Linked DNA regions of Coturnix japonica. The protein of the gene in region 1 binds, or shares a complex with, the protein of each later gene. Links are inferred from orthologs where the notes say so. Each region holds a gene or a part of one and is shown on either strand. Other genes may lie near its edges.

What was found.
Region 2: the proteins of CCKAR (region 1) and CCK are in contact, whole or in part, in a cryo-EM structure (PDB 7MBX), measured with the Homo sapiens proteins. The link is inferred for Coturnix japonica from reciprocal best matches to the Homo sapiens genes CCKAR and CCK. Residues at the interface, in NP_000721.1 of Homo sapiens: Cys94, Phe97, Asn98, Pro101, Asn102, Lys105, Asp106, Phe107, Thr118, Met121, Gly122, Val125, Tyr176, Phe185, Asn194, Met195, Cys196, Arg197, Phe198, His210, Leu213, Leu217, Ile329, Phe330, Ala332, Asn333, Arg336, Ala343, Glu344, Leu347; in NP_000720.1 of Homo sapiens: Asp96, Tyr97, Met98, Gly99, Trp100, Met101, Asp102, Phe103.

The regions. Positions count from the first base shown.
Region 1 is NC_029519.1:66,250,594-66,254,896, forward strand, and holds the start of CCKAR (cholecystokinin receptor type A), read left to right. Parts: upstream 1-1,474; 5' UTR 1,475-1,869; intron 1,870-3,021; 5' UTR 3,022-3,169; intron 3,170-4,303. UniProt on the Homo sapiens protein: Receptor for cholecystokinin. Mediates pancreatic growth and enzyme secretion, smooth muscle contraction of the gall bladder and stomach. Has a 1000-fold higher affinity for CCK rather than for gastrin.
Region 2 is NC_029517.1:40,254,118-40,258,367, forward strand, and holds the start of CCK (cholecystokinin), read right to left. Parts: upstream 3,106-4,250; 5' UTR 2,921-3,105; intron 2,020-2,920; exon of another isoform or gene 2,018-2,019; 5' UTR 2,016-2,017; coding exon 1,760-2,015; intron 1-1,759. UniProt on the Homo sapiens protein: This peptide hormone induces gall bladder contraction and the release of pancreatic enzymes in the gut. Its function in the brain is not clear.

The DNA.
Region 1 (4,303 bases):
TTTGTAACATTTTCAAATAGAAGATTCAGAAGTGAAGAATAAACCAAGAGGATAAGAAAGCTCCTGTAGTTCTTTTCTGTTGGTTTGGGTAGGGCTGGAAAACGACCAGATACAGCAATCATTACAAACAACACTGGCTCACAGGGATCCTCATTTCCCTTACTAACATTTTTCAGATATCCTTTTTGTCTTCTGCTTCCTTAACCTGATGGCTGCTCTGTTAAAAGCACAGCCAGATGTGCCAGTAAGATAAATTACCTGGTGGAAACACTGAATGAACTGAACATGGTAAGCAGAACAATCCTAAGTTTCTCATTGTTTCTCATAGTCTTGTCTCCACTGATGATGCTTCTCTTTGTACAGACATATGCTTTCTACCCTTGAAAAGAAGCACAGCACACTGAATAAATATCTTAACCAACTATGGAATAGAGGCTTGTCTGATAGATCACAGGCAATGTCAGGGACCTGAAGAATCCTATACTGAAATACTTGAGATTGTCCTGTATTAGGCCAAAATAGGTTAAGTCAAAATGTAAAATGGAGCCTTGATTTGTAAACAAAGTTGATCCATTTACATACAGGAATATATTATAGCAGAAAACCGTTTAAAGTTTAAATACTGTGCTCCTATTATGGGAATTGTTGAGTAGGCACAAAACACAACTAGATAGTTGTAGCTTTTTGGCTTTGATTGACATTTATAAGAAACAATTTTCCTACTCATATTGGAGACGTAACTGGCAGGAGAAAAAAACAATACATAGGAGGAAGGAAAACAGATTGGAAAAAGCTGTGAAAAACAAGGAATAGGTAGTGACAGATGTGGGAGTGAAGCTGACAAAGACAGGTTTAGAGTGAAGGTTGCCAGCTGTAGGAAATCATTCATTTGCAGCTGAGGATTATGCCAGGCAAGGAAGTAAGGCTTCTTTACACACTAATTGCACCTGCAGTGTAAAAGCCTGGACTTATAGGCATTGATTTCTGGAGCTTAATGGCACAGAGTTTCATTTTTGACCTTCCATTAGTGCTTTCCTTTAAACTTCATTTTGTTGAGTAGGCACAAAACACAACTTGCCACGAAGATGATTAGGGGGCTGGAGCACCTCCCACTATGAGGACAGGCTGAAGGGATTGGGCTTGTTCAGCCTGGGGAAGAGAAGGTTGTGGGGTGACCTCATGCAGCCTTTCAATACCTGAAGGGAACTTACTCCCAGGAGGGGAGTAAACTCTTGCAGAAAGGGCTGACAATAGCAGGACTAGGGGAAATGGTTTAAGTAAAAGAGGGAAGATTTAGTTTGATGTTAGGGGTTAGTTCTTCACTAGGAGAAGTGGTTAGCGCCCTGGAACAGGCTGCCCAGGGAGGTTGTGGATGCCCCGTCCTTGGAGGTGTTCAAGACCAGGTTGGACGGGGCCCTGGGCAACCTGATCTAGTAAAGGTGTATGTTTGGTGCCCTGCTAGGCAGGGGGGGTTGGAACTACATGATCCTTGAGGTCCCTTCCAACCCGGGTCATTCTGTGATTCTAGATAGACTGCTTTTACTGTGGAAGTAAGTTCAAAATAAGAATGTGCACAAGAATTCAAGGCAAGCACCTAGAAAGAGTGGAACAAGCAGGTGAAAGTGCAAGCATGTGTAAGACAGTTCTGAATGCTGTATGCAAAGCCACTGAATTGCAGACTACATCCTTCTTCTCATGAACCCCTCAAATATATATTTTTATACAAACCTCTGTAATAAGAGAAGAGAAGAGAAGAGAAGAGAAGAGAAGAGAAGAGAAGAGAAGAGAAGAGAAGAGAAGAGAATGACAAAACAGTTCAGGAAAACTGTACAGATTTGCCCTGTCTGAGCTTGTCAATCATGGGCATGAGTAAGTAGTAATATAGGAGTATAATTGGAGGAATATGTACCTTCAGAAGGATAACTGTGGTATAGTTACCAGACAGCTAAGGCAAAAAGCATTTTACAGCCACATTTTCCCTGATCCGGCTCTGGGAGTTGAGACCCCTGAGCTGAATATTGCCCTAGTCCATCTTCCTCAGTAGGACGCCTCACTGCTCTTTCTAATTATTTTTATCTTTAATTGCTTTTGTTCTTCATTGGAAGAATCCCTGCAGCCAACTGGCCTACCACTGTTTACCAATGGACATATTTTCCAGAGCAGATGGGACAAAAGTTGCTCCCCAGCTTGAATATAGACATAAACTAGTAGCCACGTGGATAAAAATGTCCGGTTTTTGTCTGAAATTGCATTTGGGTTTGTACCCACTGAGAGCTGCAGCAGGGTACGTTTCTGCTGTATAGTGTGTAGTTATTTAAAATGTAGCAGAAAAATTCCTTCTTGGGGTTTTTCAGCACTCATGAAGTTTTTCATTTAAGTTAAATTAGATGTACAGTAAAGGCAGCATTCAGAGGATTTAGATCAGTGAGATGTCTTTCTCCCCCCATATGTGACACATAGAGAAACAATAAAGGGAGAAGACACCAACTATTTAAGGAAGATGATTTCAAAACTTAGTTAATATTTTCCTGCAAGTATGTCTGTAAAGGTTTACAGTGAGAATAGGCATGGCAGAAAGACTTAGAATAGCCTACAGAGCAAATATGATAAGTAATTTAGAGGAGAAAATTTTTGTATTTACACATATGTATACACATCCCAAATATATATACCTCATCTCAAACCTGCTCTATAAGTGTATATATTTCATAATCATGTGGATGCTTAGAAAAACACTTTACTCTGGCATTGTTATATGGTGTTTAAGGGCACTAAAACAACACATCCATGACAAAAACATGACCTATGGCTTATTCCTACTTAAAACAGAAAATCAAAGTATATTCAGAAATGTATATTATGTTCTGGTTTTTCAGATTTGATTTTAATATTTCTCACATGATCCAATTTGAAATTTCCAGCAGTCTCTAAATAGTGTCTTGTGAATGAGATTTTTCAGCGAGAAATAACTGTTTTTAGTATTTAATAAAATAAATTATGTTTTCCTCTTTCTTTTGCCAGAGCATTCCCATTTGACTTCTAATAACACCTTTTATGAGTAATTACTAAGAATTAGGTGAAACTTTGAGGAGGTCTCTGTTTGCAAGCTATAAAATTGAAGTTGACGGTTCTGGCTTTCTTCACTGAACTGCAAACAAAATTTAAATAGGTAAGAAAACTGTACAGTTGTGGTTTGAGCAAATAGATGCACATCAGGTTTAAAACCAGAGTGAGTGTGAATAGAAACTGGGAGCGTGTTACTTGCATATTTAAAAGAAGCTTTACTTGCTTCAAGCAGCTTAAGGAAAAAGAGGTTTTAAAATGAAACACTAATTGTAACTGGACTTTTTTAATGCCTTTGTCATAAATACTTTTCCTTCCTCATTTTTTTTTCATTTCCCACAAGACTAAAAAAATAAATGTTACAGAATAAAGGGAAAATACTGAGAAGAAATTAGGTATCCAAGAAACAATGCAGTAGCCACAGCTCACACTATGACTGCTTTACACTGCTTTGTTTGTGCAAAGAATGCTTATTATCAATGACGGTGATTACAGGAAGGATGAGACCGGTATGCATGAAATTGCATATGTAAGATAATGCCTTCAGAAACACAAACTGTTTGTAAAAGCAAAATTGACCATACAACAACTAAGTGTATCTTCTTCATATACAAGGATTACATCCCAAAGATCCATCTTTGTCCAGTACATTTGCCCTATTTGTAAGCCCTTGGATATCTGGGAAGTACCATAGCATCCAAACTAATTGAGGTTTGCTGTAACAAAAAGTGAATGTAGGGAATTCTGAGCAGAATTTGTTCTCAGGGTTTTGCTTCTTCCTTCTTCTGAGAGTTGAATGTTCTCCTTAGCAGCTTTAAAACAGTTTTGTAATGTAAGCAAAGACTGAACAATGAAAATGAATTTAAAACTTACGTGCTTTCTGTCACATTAACTCCCTGCACAGTGTAATACTGTATAAACATAAGCAAATAGCCCAAACTAGCTAAAGCAATTGTTCCTCGGAGTGTGCTTTCTTAAGAATTATATAGAAAAAGCGTGGTACGATCAATAATTTTATCTTGTAACAGCCCATCTGTGGTGGAACTCTGGAAACTGCTATTTATTTTCAGTTTTTGAATAACATTTTGAAGTGACTCTCTATGGAAATACTATCAAATGCTCCCAAGAAAGCTTAATGTAATAGTTGAAACAAATCCAAGTATTTGGCATCTCTATTCTCTGTTTCTCAAAAAAAAATACAACTGCCTGCAGTCCAAAATGCAAAGATAATTGGCTAATT
Region 2 (4,250 bases), on another chromosome or scaffold:
GCTCCTTAGAGGACAGCAAATTGCATGTGTCACTGACTTGTCAGCCACATTTCTCAATGACGTGGTGCCAGATTTATGCTGAAAGCCTGTAGATGAAGTAAAGTGAAAGCTAGGGGTTACAACTAGCCTAAGAAATTCCCTAGGAGCACCTTAATTACTTTCCCTTAAATAACCACTGATGTCCCTGTGGATACTTCAGCATCAACATACACTGAACAGCTTCAGAACTGCAGCAGTCTGGCTACAAGGCTGCCATCTAGCCCTACCCTCCTGGGAGAATTTAACTCCCACTGTCCAAAATAAGCTTTCCTATTAACCACAAGAGCAAAGGCCATCACTGCTGACTGCTAATGCTAGTAAATGCCCAGCCTCCCCATCCTCTCAGATGGAATTTTCTAGTGTGTGTTCAGACAAGCTAAAATAGCAGATGTAAATGTCCTGCAGAGATTTCTGAAGCGCTGCCCTGAACTTTCATATTAAATAAGAATATAATTGGGTTTTTCTTACGGAAAAGCAGTTGATTGGCACTGATATAAATTAATACTGCTTTGTTGTATTGACTCTCTTCTGTACCAGCAAGTACATCTGCACACTGGTGCCCAGCTAGCTCAGTCATGCTACAAGAATTCCATCCTCCTCTCAAGAGTCATTTTGTAGGGTTAAAAATTCATACTTATGAATGTGTATGCAGGCAATTCTCCTAAACACTTACCAAAAATACATCCTAAGTCTCAACCCTTTTCCTCACCTCACCTGGTTAAGCTATTTGGAAACATCAGGTAGATAATGGAAGGGAATGTTGTAGCTACACAGGAGAAAGGAAAGGAAGACCTTGTAGACTTTTGCCTGCCTTGTAGACTCTTCCAGCAGGATTCCTTAATGTAATGCTGTGAGAATTCATAGTGTGAGGAGAAGTCCCTCCAAATACATCAAAAGTGTTTTACTGTTGTTTCTGATTCAACCCTCCTCTGCATACAGGGGTGAATGTGTGCATCAGCATGCGTAATGCATAAAATGCAGGTGCCATCTCTTTATTGCAACCACCAAAAATAAAGCTGGGATGCTGCCTGGCAAAGAGCTCAGCAGTGAGGCTATGGAGAGAGGAGTAAATGTTGTGCATTATGATTGTGTGGAGAGACAGGAGAGGAGAAGGCTCTCAATTATCAAGCAAATTTCATCCTAAACAAACTTCAGGGCTGGGAGTCAATTAATTTGTCACTCCCTGTATGTCCAAGTAATCCTAACTTCTAATGCAATCTCTTTACCAGGGGATAAATGAGAGAAGCTACTGCAAGCAAACAAGATCTGCATAACCTCAAAAGCCATACTGTGCTTTTTTCTTGAGGTTTGCAGTTACGTTCCTCCCTTGGTGGCCAGAGCAATTACATTGCCCATGGTGTAACTCATTTCAAATAGGTAACAACTGTTTGCTCAAGCAATTAATAAATCACACGATAAAGGTGAAGCCTTGTGATTCCAGTACTCTCCTGGAGCTTCACGATCCCATTACTGAATGCTGGGGAGGCTTTAATTAATTGCAAGATTCTGTCCCAAGGCAACTGCTATGTAACAATAGCTTTGGGGTTGGTTTTTTTCCTTTTAGTTCTACAGTAAGTGGGAAAGGAAATGGTCTCTACTTCGGGAATAGCCAGACAAAATCTATTTCCTATCTCCTATAGGAATGCAGGAGTTAGTGCTAGATGATGGCAGGATTAGTATGTGGAAAAGCCGTGCCACAGAGGCAGCAGACGAGCAGTACCTTTCCGGGCTTGCTGCAGGTACTTGGCCAGCAGCGCACCGATAGCCGCCCTCTGCTCGAAGCTGCCATCCAGCCGCGGGGCGGGTTTCAGCGGCCCCGCCGAGGAGGGTGAGCGGTTGTGCCGGTGGGGCTCTGTCAGGCTCTGCTGGAGCTCAGCAGCCAGCGGGCTGCCATCGTGTGAGCCCGCGGGCTGCTGGCCGAAGGAGCTCACCGACAGCGCAGCAAGGAGCACGCAGATGCAGATACCGCCGTACATCGCTGGGGAGAGAAAAGGCACGTCAGGGGGTCGGAAAGATGGAGCACACTGAGCGTCATCCCCCAGCCCCGTCTTCTTCGGAGGCGCTGCGTTCTGAGGAAACTTTGTTCTTTTAATGCAGTTTAATGCTGTGGGATCTGTTCTCATCTAGAAGGTACGCGTGACTATTAGCTATCTGTTGGGAAGAGGAGGTAACACCACAGCGAACTGGTTTTATCTCTCCTCGAGTATGTGCTATGTCTCCCTTACGTGGTTCTTTTCTGTTTTGGAAGCTGCATTCCAGTAATAACTAAAGGAAACCTACGCAGCTCTGCAAAAACTCGCAGGGTCCGGGCAGCCACGTGCATTGCTGCTGTACTGCAATCTGCTGCTATCACAGATACCCAATTCTGACACGTCCAGCAAAGAGCGTTTACTCCCCCACCCCTCCTTGGTCTGAAATTGAGCCCTGAAGAAGCTGTCTTGTACAAGAGGAGAAGGAATAAAGCTGTGTTACCCCCAAAATCTCACCCCACCCCATCACCTGATTTAAGAGGGCAAGCAACGATGTGCACCGGAACTGTGCAAACCACAATTCAAACAAAACGATTTTTTGCCACCTCCGTAAAGAAACAACGATCGGATGAAACAACCCAGAGGGAAGCGGCACAGTTTGAGCACAGCATCTGAAATAGCACTTCTGGAAACGGGGCTAAGAGGAGAAACGACGCACCCGGCAGGAGGGCAACTTCCCGTCATAAAGACGCGTGAATTATCCCGCGTATGTGAAACCCAGCACCGAGCATCACCTTTTCACTTCGGAAGAAGGGAAAACGAAGTTCGTCCGCCCGCTCGCAACGCACAGAAGCGAAGGGCACCTGTCCTTCCCGCGGCTGCTCCCGCACCGCCCAAGTGCCTCTCCCTACCTTTCTCCTTCCCTTCCTTCCCCGAGGCCGGAGTGAAGAGGACCACGGAAAGCCGCCGTGCGTCCAAGCGGGATGTCGGGGGCTGCTCCGCCGCGGCCCCTTAAATAGCGGCGGCGGTGTTTGCACAGCTTTGACGCAGCGGCGGCCGCGGCCGGGCTCCGCCTCGGGGGGAGCGGGGCTCCCTCTCTCCCTCCCGCCCCGCCTCCCGCCTGGATGCGAAGTTCGGACGGGGAGGGCGGCGCGCAGTCGGGCTTGCTTATAAGACTCCGCTGCTCTCCCGGGGCCACGTGTGCCGGGCTGGCGCTGCGGTGTCCGCGGGGAGAAGGGGCTCCCGCACAGGGAACGGCCTTTCCGCCCCACTTCGTTCCCCCTGCGCGCTGTGCCGCCCGGCTGTGCCCCCTGCCCCGTCCCTGCCCGCCGCCGGTCTCGGCTCGAGGGTCTCCGCTGCTCTTCGAGCGGCTGTCGGCAGAGGGCGGCGGGGTTCCGCCTGGGGCTGCCCAGCGCTGCTCCGCAGACCCGAGTATCCCACGGCCCCTTAAAGCGGCCCGACGGCTCCCGAGCTGATGGATGGGGCGCGGGGAGGGATGGCAGAGAGAGTGTTGAAGGGGATGGTGCTGTGCAAGCGTTCTCGCCACGTTTCAGCCTCTAACCAGGGGCTTGGTCCCTGAAAAGGAGGGCAGAACTGAGCAGCAGGGCTGATTGTCGTCACAGAATCACATGTATCGGAAGGGGACTCTGGAGTTCGCCTAGTCCGACCCCCTGCTACAGCAGTCCCTCTGTGGTAGGCTGTGTGGGGGAGTGTCCAGGCAGGTCTTGAATATCTCCAGAGGAGACTCTACAACCTCTCTAGGCAGCCTGTTCAGTGCTCTTCAGCTGCACAGTAAAGAAGTTCTTCCTCATGTCCTTGTGGAATTTCTGTGTTCCAGTTTGTGCCCATTGCTCCTTGTTCTGTTGCTTCATACCACTGAAAAAAAGCCTGGCCCCATCCACTGACTCCAGCCCATCAGGTATTTATGAGCACTGACAAGATCCCCTCTCAGCCTTCTCTCCTCCGTGCTGACCAACCCCTGGTTCCTCAGCCTTTCCTCATAAGGGTGATGCTCCAGTCATCTCTGTGGCCCTCATCTCCCACATCAGATAGCGTTAGGTGACGTTTCCATCCCTGAGGCAGTTAGAAAAAAAAGAGCAAATCCCAAATCTCCTTTGAGAACAGGAAATTAAGTTGAAAGCTCATGTTCCTGGGAAGGAACAACACTGAAACTGTTCCAGCAGTACCCATCCAAAAAACAGTTTAATGGCTGCCTCTCTCTGGGTAAAGAAGAAAATCCAA